Linked DNA regions of Rattus norvegicus. Each later gene encodes a partner of the first gene's protein in a complex. Links are inferred from orthologs where the notes say so. Each region holds a gene or a part of one and is shown in the gene's direction. Other genes may lie near its edges.

Region 1 (5,770 bases):
CCATTTTCTCTACAGGAGCAGCAAGTGCTCTTAACCATGAGCCATCCTCTAACTTACTAATTTAAACGTTTACTAGCAGGTAGTTATTTAAAAGCCTTAGAATAAAAGTCGGCTATGTTCTTTTTGAAGTATACTATAGAATTATTTAAGCAAATGTGAAATTTGGAAGAATGCAGTGACATCCAGTCGGTCCCTTACTTCATCCTAACCATTGTGCTTTCTTTTCTTATGCAGGCATGCAAAGTGGAAGATTTGGGCAAAGTGGACTTCGAAGATGAAATTAAGAAAAGATTTAAAATGGTGTATGTTCCAAATTGGTTCTCAGTAGACCTAAAAACAGGGGTGAGTTAGGCAATCAGTATTTATGTGATTTTGGATAATTGAAAATTTCCTCCATGCCCTAATTATTCTTAAGGAGTTTGCTGTCCTTAAGACATTTGCTTGCCCCGTCTGTCTTAATATGCTGTCATGTAAGCCTGACTCTCGAGTAGAGCAAGCTGAAGCTGAATCCCAAGAGACATGGCTTAGCCTTGTCTAGTGCATGGATGGATGCTGCCGGGTCAGGTGCTGGAGAGGAGGGAGGGAGAGCAAGCTGCTAGCACTGTGTGTCCCTCCCCCCAACAGATGCTGACCATTACTCTGGATGAAAGCGACTGCTTCGCTGCCTGGGTTTCTGCGAAAGATGCTGGCTTCAGCAGTCCCGATGGGTCAGACCCAAAACGTGAGTTAAGTGTCTTCGATTGAAGAAGGTAGCTGGTCATCTTTGTAAGCGTCCCCCACACCGTGACTCTTACTGTCATTTGTTTGTTTTGCTTCAAGACAGGGTTTCTCTGTGTAGCTGTGTAGCCCTAGCTATCCTGGAACTCACTCTGTAAACCAGCTGGCCTGGAACTCAGAGATCCGCCTGCCTCTGCCTCTAGTGCTGAGATTACAGACGTGCATCTCCACTGCCCAAGTCACTCAGCACGCTTTTGAGAACTTGGTGTGTAACAATCCAACACGTACAAATACAAGGTTGCTGGCTTTGGGGAGAGTACCTGTGTCAATAGCAAACTGTTTTTGGTTTAAAGAATAGCTTCAACCAGACATGGCGGCTCAGGCCTCTGATCCCAGCCCTTAGGAGCCTTGAGGTCCAGGGCAGCCTTGCTGCAATGTAAACCCCCTGTCTCCACAAAAAGAACAGAGAAGGGTGACCGCTGAACAGCAGGGTAGTGTTTTCTCTGCAACTTCGATTCTGAGATTAAGCACTGAGACCTGCTTGTCTCTGGTCTTGGGGTTGAAGCCTATGGATGTGTGTTAGTTAGGGTTTCATTGAGGTGAAGAGACCACGTCAGCTCTTACAATTGGGTCAGACTTACAGTTTCAGAGGTTTCGTCCATTATCGTATCAGGAATGATGCCAGCGTGCAGGCAGGCACAGTACTAGAGGAATGGAGAGTTCTACATCTTCATCCACAGGCAGCAAGGAGAGACCGTGTGTGTCACACTGGGTGTAGCTTTTGCATAGGAAGTGTCAGAGCCTACCTCTACAGTGATGTACTTCTTCTAACAAGCCACACCTCCTACTAGTGCCACACTATTGGCCGGTGTTCAAATACATGGTGGGGGGATTCCTATTCAAATCACCACAGCATGTGTACCCCAGCGTGGTAGCACATGCCTCTAATCCCTGTACTTGGGAGTAGGAAGAAAGAAGATGAATCAAAGACCAGGCTGAATCACAAAGAAAAAAGAAAGTCGTAACAGTTTGGAAAGTGCCGATTCAAAAGCCACCAAACCTGTGTATATAACTTCTGTAAGGTGCTCACACATAATCCCCATCCTGAAAAGCACCTCTGCCTTTTTTTTTTTTTTTAAAGATTTATTTATTATATATGAGTACACTGTAGCTGTCTTCAGACACACCAGAAGAGGGCATTAGATCTTATTACAGATGGTTGTGAGCCACCATGTGGTTGCTGGGATTTGGACTCAGGACCTCTGGAAGAGCAGCCGGTGCTCTTAACCCTGAGCCATCTCTCCAGCCCACACCTCTGCCTTCAAGTGTCCATAACTGCCCTGTTTGTACCCTGCCCTGCTGGATAATTTTGCTTCTCAAGAAAACAGATGCAGCATGAGAACATTGACAGCTTCTGTCTTAGGTTGGAGCTAACAAACTGTCTCCGTTTCTCCTCTCACCCACAGTGAACTTAGGAGGACTTCTACTACAGGCCCTCCTGGAGTACTGGCCCAGAACACATGTGACTCCCATGGACGAGGAGGAGAATGAAGTGAACCATGGTTAGTGTGTCTGTTTGTTCAGAAAAGTGACAGTTGTGTGGGCCAAGGGGTACTTACTGTAGTGTACAGAAGTCTGACACAGCTGTGGTGTGCCCAGTTAATTGTTCTTTCCTACATCTGAATGAGAGTATCCAGTATTGCAAAGGATGAGGCCACTTTGGGATGTGGCTCTCAGATAGAAGAAGCCCCATGTGTGATATTCAAAAATCACCGGTTTATGGGTGGTCATAGATCCTCCCAAGTGCTAGGTGGCGCCATTGTGCTCAGGTTCAGGGAGCTGAGGACTGGGAGGGGCTGTGTGTCAGCTCAGGCACTGGGTCAACTACATTTATTTCTTGTATTAAAGCCCTCCTGGGGGCTCCTTTGGGGGCTGTGTCTCACTGTGAGCAGGTACTGGACTTCTGATGAGATTCTCTGCTCTTACATATTAAATACCATTCTTACTTGTTCTAAACCTTTATTATTTTTTAATATTAAAACATTTTATGTTTATGCCAGTTAAGTGGGGTGCATGTGAAAGCCAGACAGGGGCACCAGATCTCCTGGACTGAACTCGGGTCCTCTGAAGAGCCCTCAGTCCTCCGTTCCAGCTTCCTCCACCCAGCTTTCTAATGCTGACCAAGGAGCAGGGTTTTGATTTAAATGTTTCTTTAGATTTGTTCATTTTTATTTGATGTATATCAGTTTTCCTGCGTGTATATAAGGGCAACACTTATGGGCCTAGTGCCCATGGAGGCTAGAAAGGGTGTTGAATACCCTGGAACTAGGGTTAGAGATGGTTGTAAGCCACTTTGTAGTACTGGGAACTAAACCTTGGTCCTCTAGAAGAGCAGCCAGTGCTCTAACCGCTGAACCATCACTCCAGCCCCAGGATTTTTTATTTTTAAAATGTTGGAATGTTTACAGCCTTTGTGGTCAGTATTCAGAAGCTTTGGTCCCAACATTAACAGCCTGCCTATCTTTCCAGTGAGTGGGGAACAGGAGAGCCGAGTCCAGAAAGGAAATGGCTATTTCCAGGTGCCCCCCCACACCCCCGTGATCTTTGGAGAAGCTGGAGGTCGCACACTTTTCAGGTATGGATAAGAAAGACTAGAACCCTGCCTAGAAAGGCCTTGCTTAATAAGCCAACCCTCTTGATAGAAATGCTGCCCAGGGGGTTGGGGATTTAGCTCAGTGGTAGAGCGCTTGCCTAGGAAGCACAAGGCCCTGGGTTTGGTCCCCAGCTCCGAAAAAAAGAACCAAAAAAATAAATAAATAAATAAAAAATGCTGCCCAGACAGACATGTCATCTCCTTGAGATACTTAATGCCTGGTGCAGTGAATGTTAATAACGAAGGGCCAAGGTGAGATTCACACGCACACACACGTGCGCACCCACACAGATACCCTGCCCCATCCCAGATGCCTGCCTCTCTTACTTTGCCAGTGTGGCTAACTGCCAGAGGCAGGAATCAAATGGCGTCAGAGCAGTCCCTGGTCATGGGAGACTGGGCCAGGCAAGAGGGTGAGGCTGATCCTGCAAACTGTTGTGATCTATACTGGTTCAGCCTGGGGTGAGGGAGATGCTCTCTGGCCCTCCAGGGAAGGGGAGGCTTCAGGCAAGCCCTGAAGGAGCAGGGAAGTGTTGCAGCATCACTGGGTGTGGGAAGTGAGGGTGATGCCTGCCTTTCCCCTGAGCACAGACTTTCTTCTGTTGTGATCTTCGGAGCAAGGTAACCAAACTGCAGCCCTCACTGCAGCTGAAGTCTGGGCCATGCCTGGCCCTGGCTAGGCCCTTGGCTGAGTGTTTCTTGTAGTGACCCAGGACTCAGAAGCGGCTTGATCGGGCCCAAGTCTCCCTACTCCCCCATCACCTCTGCTGTCCTCAATGAGCGCTGTGAGGGCTCCTCTGCTGTCCCCCTGCTTGTCATGACACTGACCACCTGATGGATTGTGTCTAGGCTGCTCTGCCGGGACTCCGGGGGCGAGACCGAGGCAATGCTTCTCAATGAGACCGTGCCACAATGGGTGATCGACATCACTGTGGATGTAAGTATCCTTCACTCCCGCTTTGCCCTTTGCTTTCCCTGGACCATGACATTAAGTCTTAAACTGTGACAAAAGTCACCGGCTAAGTAGAATCCTCTCTGCGTTCCTGAAGTTCCAAAGTTGTAGACACATCTGATAGTTATTTACATATCAACTTTTATCTTTGTCTGGTTTCAGTCAGAACAATAATGTATGCTTATTCTACAACGTAATCAGTGCCCACCTCTTCCCACCCACCCTCTTCACCCTTCCCAGCCCTCTTCTCAGAGGGGGAACCCAGTAGGAAGTCACCTACACGAGCACTTACTATTGTGTGCAGATATAAGTGTGGAGTTCATTTAATTTTGCACAAAATCTCTTACAGTGTTCTGCAACTTCTTTTTTTTTTTTACTTAAAAATATGTCTTGGACATCTGTTCAGACCTGTGCTCAGGGACTGTTCCCTTTTAAGGACTGCACCTTATTCTGTTGTGTAAATGATCAGCCCCTTCTTAATGGGCCCAGGTAGTTTGCATTGTTTGCATTTGCAAACAGTGCTTCCTGAACGTCTTTGTACATGTGTCTCTGTGTATTTTAGGGTAAATTCTTACAGTGAAATTGCTGGATCAAAGGGTCTGACATTTTAAATCTGGATAGATATGCGAATTGCCCTTTCACAAAGGCAGTGTGCTCTGCACCGACAGTGTATGGACACCTGATTGTCACAGCCACACCGACACCAGACACTTGCCCTTTGCTGAGCCGTCATCAAATACTGTGCGGTGTTTCAGTGTGGATGTGTCCTTATTCGTGGTGAGGTCAGGAGTCTTTTCACACTGACCGTTTCTCTCTGTGACCTGCCTGTCTGTGTCCTTTGCCACTTCTCCAACTGGGTCATCGTCTCACTCACTCACTCACTCACTCACTCACTCACTCACTCACTCACTCACTCACAGGTGATCTTCTGTTGCCAATTAACCTGACTCCTCTCTGCCTTCATTAAACATTTACTTTGTTCAAGGTTTTCTCCCAGGGGAAACCTTAACTTTTGTATAATCAGATTGAGGTTTTGTAGCTCTGGTTCCATGTTTTATTGGATATCTCCCAATTCAGAGTGTCCTCACTACGCTCTGCACCTTGTTGTTTACTGTCCGCCTCGTTACTGTTATTCAGTCTTCTGTTGGCTGTGAGGTGACATTTTAACTTTTCCCAGAGAACTAAGCTGTGTACCAGTGTAGTCTGTAGGGGTCTGTCCTGTCTACTATTTGAATTCTACACTGTCTGTATAGTGCATTCCTGCAGACAGGACTTTCTTGACTGTTCGTATACTCCTAAAGCCATAGAAAAAGGACTTAATTTCCTGAAACTTTAGAAAATGTGTTTTCTACTCCAGATACACTCCAAGAACTTAGAACTAGTGTGACTGACACTTGTTGGTCTTCCTGTGGTCTTCCTGTGCAGACTCCCATAATCCACTGCTTCTT
Region 2 (6,363 bases), on another chromosome or scaffold:
AATGGATTTGCTGACTAACCCACAGCCTGACTTTCAACTTTTTTTTTTTTTAATCCCCAAAGGTAGACAGGGTCTTCCCACCTCTCCCTGACTGGCCTGGTACTCACTATATAGCCCAGGTGGGCTGTGAACTTGTGGCAGTCCCTCTGCCTCAGCCTCCGGGGTGCTGGATTATACCATACCACATTCAGATTTCAACCTGTCTGTCCACACTGCCTACTTAGTTTTAGGTATTTAGAGGGCATGCAAGGAATCCTTTTTCTTGTTGGCACAACACCCAGAGTCAGGTGCTGGTTGTTTTTTTGCTGTGCCAGTGGTGTTTGTGTGTGTAAACATGTGTATGTTCATGTGTGAGTACATTGTGTGTGTCAAAGCCTGAGGTTGATGTTAGATGTCTCCCTCTCTGCCTTAATTTTTGTCTAAAGATTTATTTTATTTTTAATTGTGTGGATGTGTAAGGGTGTGTGTGTGTGCATGCATGTGTGTGGGTGGGTATGTGCATATGATGCAAGTGTCATGGATCCCTTGGAGCTAAAGTTATAGGTGTTTGTGAGCCACCCCACGTGGGTGATAGGAATTGAAGTCAGGTCCTCTGGAAGTATGCAGTCTTTTTTTTTTTTTTTTTTTTTTTTTTTTAATTTATATAAGTACACTGTAGCTGTCTTCAGACACACCAGAAGAGGGCATTGGATCCCATTACAGATGGTTGTGAGCCACCATGTGGTTTCTGGGAACTGAACTCAGGACCTCTGGAAGAGCAGTCAGTGCTCCTAACCGCTGAGCCATCTCTCCAGCCCACAGTACGTACTCTTAACCATCCAGCCATCTCTCTATCCCTTCCACTTTTCTTGTTTGAGACAGAGAGGGTCTGTGCCTGAATCTGTAACTTGTGATTTGGCTAGTCTGGCTGGCCAGCCAGCACAAGCCCCAGGGATTCTGTCTGCCTCTCTAGCAGCGGGATAGTTACACACAGTGACCATGTTTCATTACTTGTGGGTGTGAACTCTGGGGGAAGGATTGAACTTCGGAACCCATGCTTGTGCTGTAAGCACTTTATTGACTGGCACATCTCCCCAGCTCTCACTTGTGTTTTAACTCCTGTAGGCCTTGTATCAGTGTATTCATATTGGAAGAAATCATGGAGTTCATCATCAGAAAACATGGAAATTTTTTTTTTCGGAGCTGGGGATCGAACCCAGGGCCTTGTGCTTGCTAGGCAAGCGCTCTACTGCTGAGCTAAATCCCCAACCCCGAAAACATGGAAATTTAAAACTTTAACCACTCATAAAGCTCAGGCCTTCAGCTTGTGACATTCCGTAATCTTTATAAGCTTTTCTGGACCTTACTGTTCTGGCCAGTCATGGTTTGGGTGTTTTATCAATGGTTCCCCTCCCCCAAAGGTACCCAACCTAAGTTTAGCCTTTATCTGTACTATGTGGGTAACACAGAGCTGAGTTGGACACCTGCTCTCTCTGTAAGCCTTGTGGAGCTAACTGTCTGTTAACTAATAGATTGTGTAGAAGCTGAAAGAACTATAACTGGCAGCAGTAAAAAAAATGAAAATAAAATTTTGGTAGAATGACTCATCGTGAGCAGACATATTAATCCTTCTACACACTGAAAAATACAGTATCCACGTGACTCCCCCCTTCAGTCAGTAGTGTTCGTCTTCTATTTCCACCCCAGGTCCTAGAAGAATTACCAATGGATGGCTCTCACATGTTATGTATAAAACTCTGCGCCCTCCTCCCCACCACCAGTATGTTACTCTTGGCTACATAAAGATGTCTTCAATTATATTAATTTCTCTCCTAATTTAATTTCCCACAAAATACATTGGTTCAGGAATTTATCACGTTTCACATGCACAGCTTCCCTGCAAAAACCATGGGACGGCAGACGCACAGTTATTCCCCATGTTTGAAATGGACCTTTTCAATTCTCATGAATGTATCCTTCAAGCGGTGTACAATGTGCACCCTGAGCCTGCAGTTTTGGCCTCTGTGGGAATGTGTGAAAACTCAAACAGCACCCAATCTCACAAAACTGAGATCAGGAGCTCCCTGGATGGAGGATACAAAAGTTTTGTTTTGGTATTTCCTGGACAGCCTCTAGCACCGCCCAGAACCTGGCCATTTCCTCTGTACCTTCTAATGTCACAAATCTCCCGAGTGGGGCTTTCCTAGACCCGGAATACTTTCCTTTCTGGGAACCCTTTCCCAAGCAGCTGGGTTACTGCTGGTCAGGGCTCTCTGGCCACGCCCATGTCCTGGTCTCATTTTACTTTTTGGGTTCCGGTGGATGCCATCTGGCTAGAACCCTGGAGAGAAACTTTAAAGTTGGACTAGGGTTACCCTTACTCCCTTACACCCGTACTCATCAGCTCCCCTAGCTAATCTCTAAAAGCCCTGACTGGTTGGAGACCACCAGGAACAGGCAGAGGGAAATCGGGAAACGAGCATGCCTGTGTCCCCCTGGTGTAGGTCCCCAGCCTACGATCGGCCAGGGTCCAGTGTCCTGGGTCCAGTGTGAAGGCCGCGGTGCTGGGTTCGTTGGGGACTGACCTAGCGATGCAGCTGGCACGGAGCGGTACCCCAGGGCAGGGGAGCAAGAACAGCTTTCAGCCGGGTTGGGCGACCGAGTCCTGGCGGACACGGGAACGTAGGAGCGGCCCGGTTCGGCGCCTCCCGGCTCTGGGCTCCTCCTCCCGCCGGCCGCGGCCCCGGCTGCGTCGCTCCGCCACTCCCCGCCCCGCGCCGCCGCCCCGCCCTCGCCGCCGCCCGGCCTCGCTCGCCCAACCCCACTGCAAGCCGGCCCCAGGCCGCCTCGCCGCCACCCGGCCTCGCTGCGCGCCACCATGGACAGTCCCGTTTTCCCCTGGTAAAGATGGCGGTGCGCGATCGCTGCAACCTTTAGACTAATGACTGTCCGAAACATCGCCTCCATCTGTAATATGGTGAGTGGCCGCCGAGCCTCCGGGGGTCGCGCCCGCAGCGAGCCAGGCAAAGAAAGGGAACCCCGGGCTGGAGCTGCTCGCGCGCCGCGGTCGTGGGGGCCGCGCGGTCAGAAGTTCCCGGCTCTGAGGCTGGGCCAGCTGACCGCAGTCCCCCGCCTCTGTCCCAGCCGGGGACCCTGAAGGGATCCCAGGGATCCCCAGGGCAGCCCCATGCCCCCGCCCTCGAGTTGTGGTGCGGGCGGTGGGTGGGGGTGGAGGGTGCGAGGTGCCGCACACCGCTGTCCCGAGGGAGGACCATGAGGGTGCAAGCCTGGAGTGGGAGGAAGTAGATCCTCCTGGTGCAGTAAATAAACCCTTCCTGGACTCACGGACTGTCCTCTGCTCCTTTTTGGAGTTCAGCCTCGATTGTATTTAAGATTCACTTTGCAATAGCAGTGTTCTTACCAGGAGAAATCGGATAGACATAAAAAAATCCAAGTGAAGAATCTGGCTAGAGAAGCGAACTAAAACCTGGAAAGCACAGCAATTTGTTCTGGAGGCCTCAGTTTCCCCACCTGCATGCAGGAGATTGTAAGGCGGCAGTTAACGTTTGCAGGCCCTAGGAGTGAGGTGACTGTGGGTGTGAGGAAGTCTGCAGGGGTCATCCTGCCCCGCCTCCTCTCCATTTAGCTTGGGCACTGCCTCGCCTGTCTGAGGGGGGCGGGTGGGGGGGCGGGGAGTGTTACCCAGCGGTCACTTTAATTTGGAGTCCCCCCCCCCCCCAACTACCTTCCCGTTCTGTTTAGTTTCCTAGGGACCAGTTCCAACCTTTGGGTCCCCTGAGCGTACTCAGCTGGCACCCCCACTTGTGAGAGCCTCAGGGAGGTCAGTTTGGGGTCAGCATTACCTTTGGTGTGGGGCTTGAGGGTGTGTGCTCTGCCTGTACTCTCTGGATCCTCCTCTCCCTCCCGCTTCGAGCCCCTCCAAACTGGAACACTGCTGGCTGTTGGGTTTTGTTTGTTTGTTTTTGCCATTTTGGAGAACACCCTGCCACCAAGTTAGATAGTCATCCTAGCATACAAAGGGAATCTGAGGAGGTCTGATTAAGTAGGCCTTAGGTAAGGTGATCTGGCTGCCCTTCCCCCATCACACAGCTCTTTAAATCTTCTGTCCCACATTCTGTTGCAAGATCAACACATGGCACAGAGCATGAAGGAGCCATGTGTTAGCTCAGGTGGAGTTGAGACCTGCTGGGGCTGGCTCCAGCTTTCTGCGCTGGTCGCCAAGAGTGATGGTAACTGCCGGCTTGGTACAGGTCTCCTTAGATGACGGGGCCTGTCACCTTGCCATCTCCCCTTTCTGCTTGAAGACACAGGTTTCCTGCTTCTTCCTGTCCGGTGACATTAACGTGGCTGGATGCCCTGAGAAGACAGTGCATTTCTTCTCCGTGTCTCCGCCGTAACCAAGCTCATGTGGAGAACTAGGATACCACAGTAGTTTCAATGCTGTATCTCCTGCCTGTGGGGGTGGCCGCAGGCCTACAGCCTCCCGGGGGCTCAGTGCCTGCTCCTGGTTCTGCTCTTGTCCGGTTTGCTTTCAATGACACCTCTCAGTATTGAAGCCGAGTGGAAACCGGAGAGCAAGCCTGTCCCAAGAGGAAGTCTGCCTCCGGCTTGTTCTTGTCCTTACTGTGGCTAGGACTTCTTGGCACACCTGGACAGAATGTCACAACCTGTTTTCAGTGACACTCAGCCAGGGAGACAGGCTTCTGGGAGGACAGGAGAGGAATGGGCCAATATTGTGTCAGTAGAATAAACACTTCTGGTGACCAAGTTAATTCTCACCCACCCCACCCACCCACCCCATGTCCAATTGTGAAGTAAACCTAATATGTTTCTGTGTAGACACTGTCTTGGGCAAATGGAGAAATGTTTGCATTCTAATGTGAGACTCTAGGTTCGCTCCTGTTTTTGTACTTATTTGTGGGGCTCCTTAGCCCAGGTAGACCTCCAGCATGACATCGCCTGTAAGCACTAGATGACAGACAGAGGTGTTCTGCTCCATCCAGCTTTCAAGTCCCACCTCCAACACCGCTGCCTCGTGCCCTTGAGCACTTTGATAGTCTTTGCCTCAGCTTTCATTTGTAAAAATGGGCCCATAATGGCTGCAACCCAGGGGGGAGTTCCTGGGGTTCTGGGCCCGGTACGTGATAACTTCTCAGTGAGTGGCAGCGGCTGTGGTCAGTACCTTCTTTCTCTTACCTTCCAGTCTGTTTTAGGGGCTGTGAGAATTTGTCTTCTTCTCCTACTTGAGTATAAACAACCCATTGGGTCACTTAGGCAGAGCAAGCTGAATGACTCTGTGGAGGAGCTGGGGTGGGAACTGGAAATCCCGCCCCTTATAAAAGCCGCTCAGGTCACTTCTGCCCCTCCCATTGGCATTTCCCAGAGGAGCAGGCTGGTGCTCAGGAGACTGCTGTCTGTCTGTGCACAGCGGGATAAAGCCTTACTTGAGCATGAACTGTTTCCAGGTAGGTGTCTTCCGAGTCTCTCTGTCACTGGGTTTCTCGCTGAGCCTCTTTCTTGAGCTTTACAACTTTCTCCCTTTGCCCCAGCTGGTATGAGGAGCGGGGAGTACAGGCTGGGACCGCTTGTTTGCTTGTCGTTTGCTTATATTTATTTACTTGACACTGGGTGGCTCACAACCCGGCTTCATGTACTCTCCCACCGAGCAATATACCCAGGCTGCCTTTAGAAAAGTAGATATTTGGTCTATTTTAAACATCTTCTGGTGTATGTTCCGAAAGAGTGTTTAAAGGTATTCTCTTCTTGGGGAACACAAACCAAGATAGACCAAGATCTAGCCCTGAGAGACTGTCTCTTTTCCTCTATTGAAGGAGCTCCCAGGAGAGCTTAAATAATCCTGGAAGCAAGTCGTTCCTTCAGTAAGGTCTAAACACCCCCTTCCTTCTTCTTACCCCCCCCCCTCCACACACACACTGAGGTGCTTTGAAAGTTTAGACCTGGTTCACATTTAGTTCTTGTAAATGCCCTCCCTTAGCAATGCCCTATCAGCTCCCTTGGGGTGAGTCGATCTGACCACATGGCCGTGTGTGGTTGGAGATGGAAAAGCTCGTTTGGCTGGTGTGTTGTAATTTTTGAAAATGCCTCAGCTGCTACCAGGCCCAAGGAGATGTCCCCTGCTGATAATCCTCGGTTGTTTAGAGCCATGTATTCTGCTCACTCTCTGTGTTTCACCATCCTACAAATGGAAGGTATCACTTGTGCTTATGTGCTGTTTTGTTCCCTGTTTGAATTGAGGAATTTTCAAAAAGTGAAAAAAAAAAAAAAAAAGGAGCAAGTGTGACTTGTGCTGGTGTGAACTTGCCTAAGTCATTCTCTTCTTCATTTCATTTGTTAATAGTGCTG
Region 3 (6,386 bases), on another chromosome or scaffold:
TATTAAAGATTTCTTTCTTTCTTTTTTTTTTTTTTGGTTCTTTTTTTTGGAGCTGGGGACCGAACCCAGGGCCTTGTGCTTCCTAGGCAAGTGCTCTACCACTGAGCTAAATCTCCAACCCCTTATTTCTTATATATAAGTACACTGTAGTTGTCTTCAGACACACCAGAAGAGGGCATCAGATCTCATTACAGATGGCTGTGAGCCACCACGTGGTTGCTGGGATTTGAACTCAGGACCTCTGGAAGAGCAGTCAGTGCTTTTTTGCTTTTTTTTTTTTTTTTTTTTTTTTTTTGGAGCTGGGAACCGAACCCAGGGCCTTGCGCTTCCTAGGCAAGCGCTCCACCACTGAGCTAAATCCCCAACCCCACAGCAGTCAGTGCTCTTAACCACTGAGCCATCTCTCCAGCCCCCTATTTATTTTTTTAAAGATAGGGCTTTACTATGTGTCAGAACTCTGTGTAGACCAGAACAGTTTTAATGTCTGTTTCTCCCTCCTGAATGCCACCATACCCAGTGGTGTATTGGTCTCATGGGAAATTGAATATTATGGTTGGAGGTCAACAAATTGTTTTTTGTTTCAGTTTTTACTTGCTGAGGTTCCCCCTCCCAAAGTATAGTTTCCCCTATTAACTAGAAATCTAATCTAAGGGCTGAAGGGATGGCTCAGTGGTTAAGAGCACTGATTGCTCTTCTAGAGGTCCTGAGTCCAATTCCTAGCAACCACATGGTGGCTCACAAATATCTGTAATGGGATATGATGTCCCCTTCTGGTGTGTCTGAAACAGTATACTCACATACATAAATAAATCTTTTTTTTTCTTTTTTTCAGAGCTGGGGACCGAACCCAGGGCCTTGCATTTGCTAGACAAGCGCTCTACCACTGAGCTAAATCCCCAACCCCCATAAATAAATCTTAAAAAAAAAAGGGGGGGTTGGGGATTTAGCTCAGTGGTAGAGCGCTTGCCTAGCAAGCGCGCAAGGCCCTGAGTTCGGTCCCCAGCTCCGAAAAAAAAAAATCCAAATTGAAATTTTTTTAGATAATTCGAGCTGTTACTTAGCCCTCAATATGACCATTATAAACACGTTTGTACAAAATAACGTAGCTATAGGAGATTGGGGTTTTCCACTGAACATATCCTAGTATTTTTAAGAGTTCTGATCCATATTTGTATTTTAGGAAAAGGCAAATAACAAAATGAAATGTAAAGTGCAATCTGGGGATGTATTAAGCAGATGTATTTAAAGCAGGGCGGTGGTGGCACACAATTTTGATCCCAGAACTCAAGAGGCAGAGGCAGGCAGATCTCTGAGAGTTTGAGGACCACCTGATCTACAGATAGTCTCCAGAGAGCCAGGGGTACACAAAGAAACCCTGCCTTAAAAACAAAAACAAAAAAACAAACAACCCCAGCCCCAAAAGCATTTTAAACAGGGTGTGTGGTTCATATCTTTAACTTGGAGTCAGAGGCAGGTGGATTTGGTCTCCTATTGAGTTCCAGGACAGCCAGGGCTATTTAGTGAAATACTGTCTCAAAAAAAAAAATTGTGGTAGTGCTATTTTGTTTTTGCTGGCATGTATGAAAGCTATAGGATGTAAGTGTCAAATGCATTATTACATCATTGGCACAGTTTCTACTGTTTATGTACTTGCTTCCCACTACATAAAATGGTTATGATTTACCTCCTTTAGAACACTCCTCTCTTGTGTACAAATTAATTTTTGTGAGGTTGGAGTGTTGCTCTGTGGGCTCAGGTAGCCGCCTCCCACCCTCTCTGGGCTCAGGCACTTCTGTCTGGAAGCACAGGTGCCCCCCACTGGGCTCGCTCCACTTATTTTCCGCTCTACAGACATGACTTCTCAGGGATAGTTCATTCTTCGTCTATCATTTTTCCCTATTCTAGAATTCTATTGTAACGTTTATTACTTTAGAAGCCTTCGTATTCCAGTGCACATACCTAGAAATCGATGCATCAAATGCTGACTGTTTAGTTCTACTTTAATGAGAGTATGCTTGTCCTTTCTAAAGTCTAAATAGTCTAAATAGACTTTGTACAGAACATTCGTTACAACGATATGGTTCTCCTAGCAAATAATTTCAGGTTCCGTTTGAGGCTTTAGAAAAGTCAGCTAGCTCTACCTTTCTTAAGCGGCAAAGGAGACTTAAGTTCTAACACAACCTACTTTCTCAAGAACAAGCCAACGCTCACGTGAGGTTTCAGATGAGACTTGGAAACACATTTAAGCTGTTCTTCCCACCCCGCCTTCAAAACAAAACAAAACAAAACCGTGAGGGGTAATAAAGCTCAATCCTTCGATATCTTCTGTGAGACTGTTTTTGGGAAGCGTAGAGCGTCTTAGCACCCAGCACCCAACCGGACTGTCTGAGTCCTCCTCAGCTTCCAAGGGAGGATCGCGTACAGCTGGGACGCACAGGTCCAAACACCGGACTTCACTGCTCGCCTCAGGCTTCGCCGGGACCAGCAGCCGGCCGAGGTCAAGGCGGGGCCCTCCCTTAGGGAAAGGGTCTCTCAGCGAAGCTGCAGAAAGAGATTCACCTTGGTGCAGACCGGTTCCTGCACCAATGCTCGGCACGCGCGCTTCCACCAGCACTCAGAGGGCGGCACCCAGGGGGCGGAGTTTGGCGCACGCCCCTCGGGGTGGAGCGCGCCAGGTGAGCGCGCGTGCGCACTTAGACTGTAAACTGGCCCGCCCCTTTCGCTTCGGCCCGCCTTCATGGGGGCTGGCTCGCCAATGGGCGGGGCCGCGAAGAAGGGGGTGGGGAGTGGAGAGCGAGCGGCCGAGGACGGCGCCTGCGCGGTGGGCGTGATCCGGGCACTTAGGGCAGGATGAACGCTGCTTTCCAAGATGGCGACGGAGGGAGGAGGGAAGGAGATGAACGAGATTAAGACCCAATTCACCACCCGGGAAGGTCTGTACAAGCTGCTGCCGCACTCGGAGTACAGCCGGCCCAACCGGGTGCCCTTCAACTCGCAGGGATCCAACCCTGTCCGCGTCTCCTTCGTAAACCTCAACGACCAGTCTGGCAACGGCGACCGCCTCTGCTTCAATGTGGGCCGGGAGCTCTACTTCTATATCTACAAGGGGGTCCGCAAGGTACCGACCCGGGCGTCACCGGGGGCACGCCGGCGGTGCCGGCCGAGGCCGGGAGCTGGGCGGTGACAGCGAGGCCGGGGTGACCGGTGGGGGCGGCCGGCACTTGTACTTTTGAGTGGGCCGGTAACTCCGTTGAGGTACTCTGAGTGGAGGAGAGGGTGTTTAGGAGTGAGGCGCCGGCGGCAGCGCTGCCTCGAAGGGGAGGGGGCTCTGGAACCGGGTCGCGGGGATGCCCCGGGAGTAGCCGGTCGCCTCTCCCCGGAGGGGTCCGTCAGGTTCCGATACCGACAGGGAGCGGGCCTGCGAGTCCCCGGAAGAGATACGGCGGCCGTCTTAGGTGGCCTCGCTTCCCGGGAGGCTCGAGAGTCCTGCCCTGGGTGAGAGAACCGGGACGCGAGGAGGCTTGGAAAGGTCCGTAAGGCGGAACCGGGACAGGGAGGCGGAGGACTTGGAGACTAGGTCAGAAAGGACCTGCTCGGCACGCAGGGCTACTCCACCTGCTGCCGCACTGACACTTCTCCTGGTGTCAGCACTGTTTCCAAAAACCTTCCCGGGAGGAAGGCTGTCATTGTCTCCGCGGAAGGAACCTTCTCCCGAAAGATTTTTGAAGAGGGTCATTCTGTCCCTTGTAGTATAATAGGGCTGAGTACTCAGACTAGGGAGGTTGAAATAATGTTTTCAATAAGCTAAGTTGCTTCAGAGGTGTTCTGTGTGAGCGTGCCTAGATTTATCTTGTCTAACAAGTCAGGCTATGTCCCAAACAGGGAGGGATAGGCCTTAAATGCTACTTTAAGTAACCAGCCAAGAACTTAACAGTAATTCTGTGACGCATGCCATCGAGTTTTAAAATATCTCGTTAAAAGCAATTTATTGGCGCTTTTTTTTTTGTCATTGGCAATATAACTATGTTCCAAGAACTGCTTATTTTAACTTTTGACCATTGAGAGAGTGAGGAAATGAACGCACTCCATAGCACTTCCGACAGAAGGTGACAAGGTGATGGAAGATTCACTTATAAATGTTGAGATAGTGGGGAAGTGAGTTGTCCATATTGAAGAGGACATGTTCCCAGGGATGAATAGATCAGCTGCTTTTTTTACGCTGTACTGTGTAGGTTAGGAGGACAAGGAAAGGGACAATGGTATGGTATGCAAACGTAGCTTGTTTCTTTGGCCCAAGGTGATCTTCTGACTTGTCTTTATTCTTGTCAGTGTACTAACCAAGTGTTTGAAAATAGCTGGCTGACTCCTCTTTCTCTCTCTCTCTTGGGATTAGGAAAGTATCCAGTGGTTTGAAGTGTAGGAACTGAAGTTTTAGTGCTGCTCCCAACTCTGTTACTGACTCATTGGTGACCTTGGATATGTGGGAAACTTTACTTTGCGCCTCTTTAAAAAGGGAGGGCTGCAGTGCACATGTTGTAATTCGTAATGGCAGTAATGGCAGTAATGGCATTAGAGTCCTGACACACTCAGGAGATGTAAATTACAGTTAAAGCAAGCTTAGGGAGCAGCTGCCATCTCAACATGCCTGCTCTGTCTGAAACAGCAGACTTTTCTCTGGAAATAAATGTTACCAACACCTACCTTTAGGGGCTGGAGCAAAGGCTCAGTGGTTATTGACTTGTGCTGCTCTTGCAGAGGACTCCAGTTCAGTTCCCAGCACCCATGTCAGGCTGCTCACAACTGCCTGAAACTCAAGCTCCGGGGAATCGCATGTCCTTTTCTGGGTTCTGGGTACCCACTTACAGCTCACACAATAAGTTTAAAAATAAAAGAAATCTTAGAAAAGTATAATTAGACCCTACCATGGTTGTGTATACCGCAATCCTAGCACTCAAATTGTGGCTAGCCAGGACTATAGTTGGCAAGTTCAGGGCCAACCTGTGCTACAGTTAGCACATCTGAGGCAAGCACGGGCTATATGGTGGGGCCCTCTCTCAAGAAAAAAAAAATCCAAAACCAGGTGGGTGTGGTAGCATGCATCTTGACAGGTGGATCTCTGAGTTCAAGACCAGCCTGCCCTACATAGAGTTTCAGGCCAGCTAGGACTACATAGTAAGAACCTGTTTCAAAAAACAACTCCCTCAATCTAAAACCAAAAAGACAAAAATAGTGATGATGTAAAAATACAATGTGCTTAGAAGTTAAATTTGTGGGGCCTGGAAGAGGGCTCAGTAGTTAAAGAGTACCTGGTGTTCTTCTGAACCTAGATCCCATCTCTTACTTCAGGCAGCTCACAGACACCTGTAGTTACAGCCCTCTTCAAACCTCTTTGGGTACCTGCGTACATGTGGCATTCACATATATGTGTATAAATAAATAAATAATAAACTTTAAAAAGTTAAATTTACTCCTAGTGATTACTATTACTAGTTCAGTCATCACTTCCTATCCCCCATTTTTGTTTCTTGCCCCCCCCCCCCCCATTGTGGCCAGGGAGCCCAGGCAATTTTGTATCATTCTCATGACACACTTCATCTGGATCTAGTAGCTCTGGTTTGCATACAAAAAAAGGTGCTTAGAAGTATCTTTATAATGGTTTTTTTTTTTTTTTTTTTTTTTTTTTTTTTGGTTCTTTTTTTTCGGAGCTGGGGACCGAACCCAGGGCCTTGCGCTTCCTAGGTAAGCGCTCTACCACTGAGCTAAATCCCCAGCCCCTATAATGGTGTTTTAAGAGTTTTAAAAACAGGGGTTGGGGATTTAGCTCAGTGGTAGAGCGCTTGCCTAGGAAGCGCAAGGCCCTGGGTTCGGTCCCCAGCTCTGAAAAAAAAAAAAAAAAGAACCAAACAAACAAAGAGTTTTAAAAACTACACCAAACATTCTTTAAAAGAAGTCTGAAATGCTGCCAGGTGGTGGTGGTGGCTTGCTTAATTAATTCCAGCATTTGGGCTCAGAGGCAGGTGGATCTTGAGGCCAGCCTGGTCTACAGAGTGAGTTCCAGGACTGCCAGGACTACACAGAGAAGCCTGTCTCCAAAACAAAACCAAAAAGCTCCCATCCACCCCCCCAAAACCAAGTCAGAAATGCATATAAATTGCCTTTCCCTGCTGATTTTGAGTGCTTTGAACTTTGGGAGATGTGTGTGTGTAAAATGCTATGTATGTTGTAGGATATATTTGTATTGTGGCAGATATTTAAATTCCTCTAGCTAGTGAGTTAAAGTTTTTCTTTCTATGAGTGAGTTTGTATCTGCTGTCGTTCTGAATATGTGACTTTTTATTTGATAAGGTCTCATATAGACCGGGCTGGCCTTAAACTGGGCAAAGCAG

The links.
Region 2: the proteins of Wdr48 (region 1) and Usp46 are in contact, whole or in part, in a crystal structure (PDB 6JLQ), measured with the Homo sapiens proteins. The link is inferred for Rattus norvegicus from reciprocal best matches to the Homo sapiens genes WDR48 and USP46. Residues at the interface, in NP_065890.1 of Homo sapiens: Arg50, Trp77, Asp118, Tyr119, Lys121, Leu137, Arg139, Ser170, Tyr172, Thr188, Asp211, Asn212, Lys214, Ser230, Gly254, Trp256, Arg272, Ile364, Leu424, Lys425, Gly521; in NP_073743.2 of Homo sapiens: Arg181, Leu183, Asn184, Cys185, Glu186, Thr187, Cys222, Ser223, Glu224, Lys226, Cys232, Cys233, Ser234, Lys235, Gln236, Glu237, Gln239.
Region 3: the proteins of Wdr48 (region 1) and Wdr20 are in contact, whole or in part, in a crystal structure (PDB 5K1C), measured with the Homo sapiens proteins. The link is inferred for Rattus norvegicus from reciprocal best matches to the Homo sapiens genes WDR48 and WDR20. Residues at the interface, in NP_065890.1 of Homo sapiens: Val191, Lys207, Gly208, Gly240, Gln241, Gln242, Arg243, Cys244, Ile245; in NP_653175.2 of Homo sapiens: Arg20, Ser364, Thr384, Glu385, Asp386, Glu524, Pro525, Leu526.

What each region holds. Positions count from the first base shown.
Region 1 is NC_086026.1:128,522,629-128,528,398, forward strand, and holds part of Wdr48 (WD repeat-containing protein 48), read left to right. Parts: intron 1-234; coding exon 235-342; intron 343-624; coding exon 625-721; intron 722-2,183; coding exon 2,184-2,279; intron 2,280-3,246; coding exon 3,247-3,352; intron 3,353-4,219; coding exon 4,220-4,307; intron 4,308-5,770. UniProt on the Homo sapiens protein: Regulator of deubiquitinating complexes, which acts as a strong activator of USP1, USP12 and USP46. Enhances the USP1-mediated deubiquitination of FANCD2; USP1 being almost inactive by itself.
Region 2 is NC_086032.1:34,501,306-34,507,668, forward strand, and holds the start of Usp46 (ubiquitin carboxyl-terminal hydrolase 46), read left to right. Parts: upstream 1-2,844; 5' UTR 2,845-2,920; coding exon 2,921-2,956; intron 2,957-5,285; exon of another isoform or gene 5,286-5,450; coding exon of another isoform or gene 5,451-5,465; intron 5,466-6,363. UniProt on the Homo sapiens protein: Deubiquitinating enzyme that plays a role in behavior, possibly by regulating GABA action. May act by mediating the deubiquitination of GAD1/GAD67.
Region 3 is NC_086024.1:135,570,507-135,576,892, forward strand, and holds the start of Wdr20 (WD repeat-containing protein 20), read left to right. Parts: upstream 1-2,739; 5' UTR 2,740-2,869; coding exon 2,870-3,118; intron 3,119-6,386. UniProt on the Homo sapiens protein: Regulator of deubiquitinating complexes. Activates deubiquitinating activity of complexes containing USP12. Anchors at the base of the ubiquitin-contacting loop of USP12 and remotely modulates the catalytic center of the enzyme.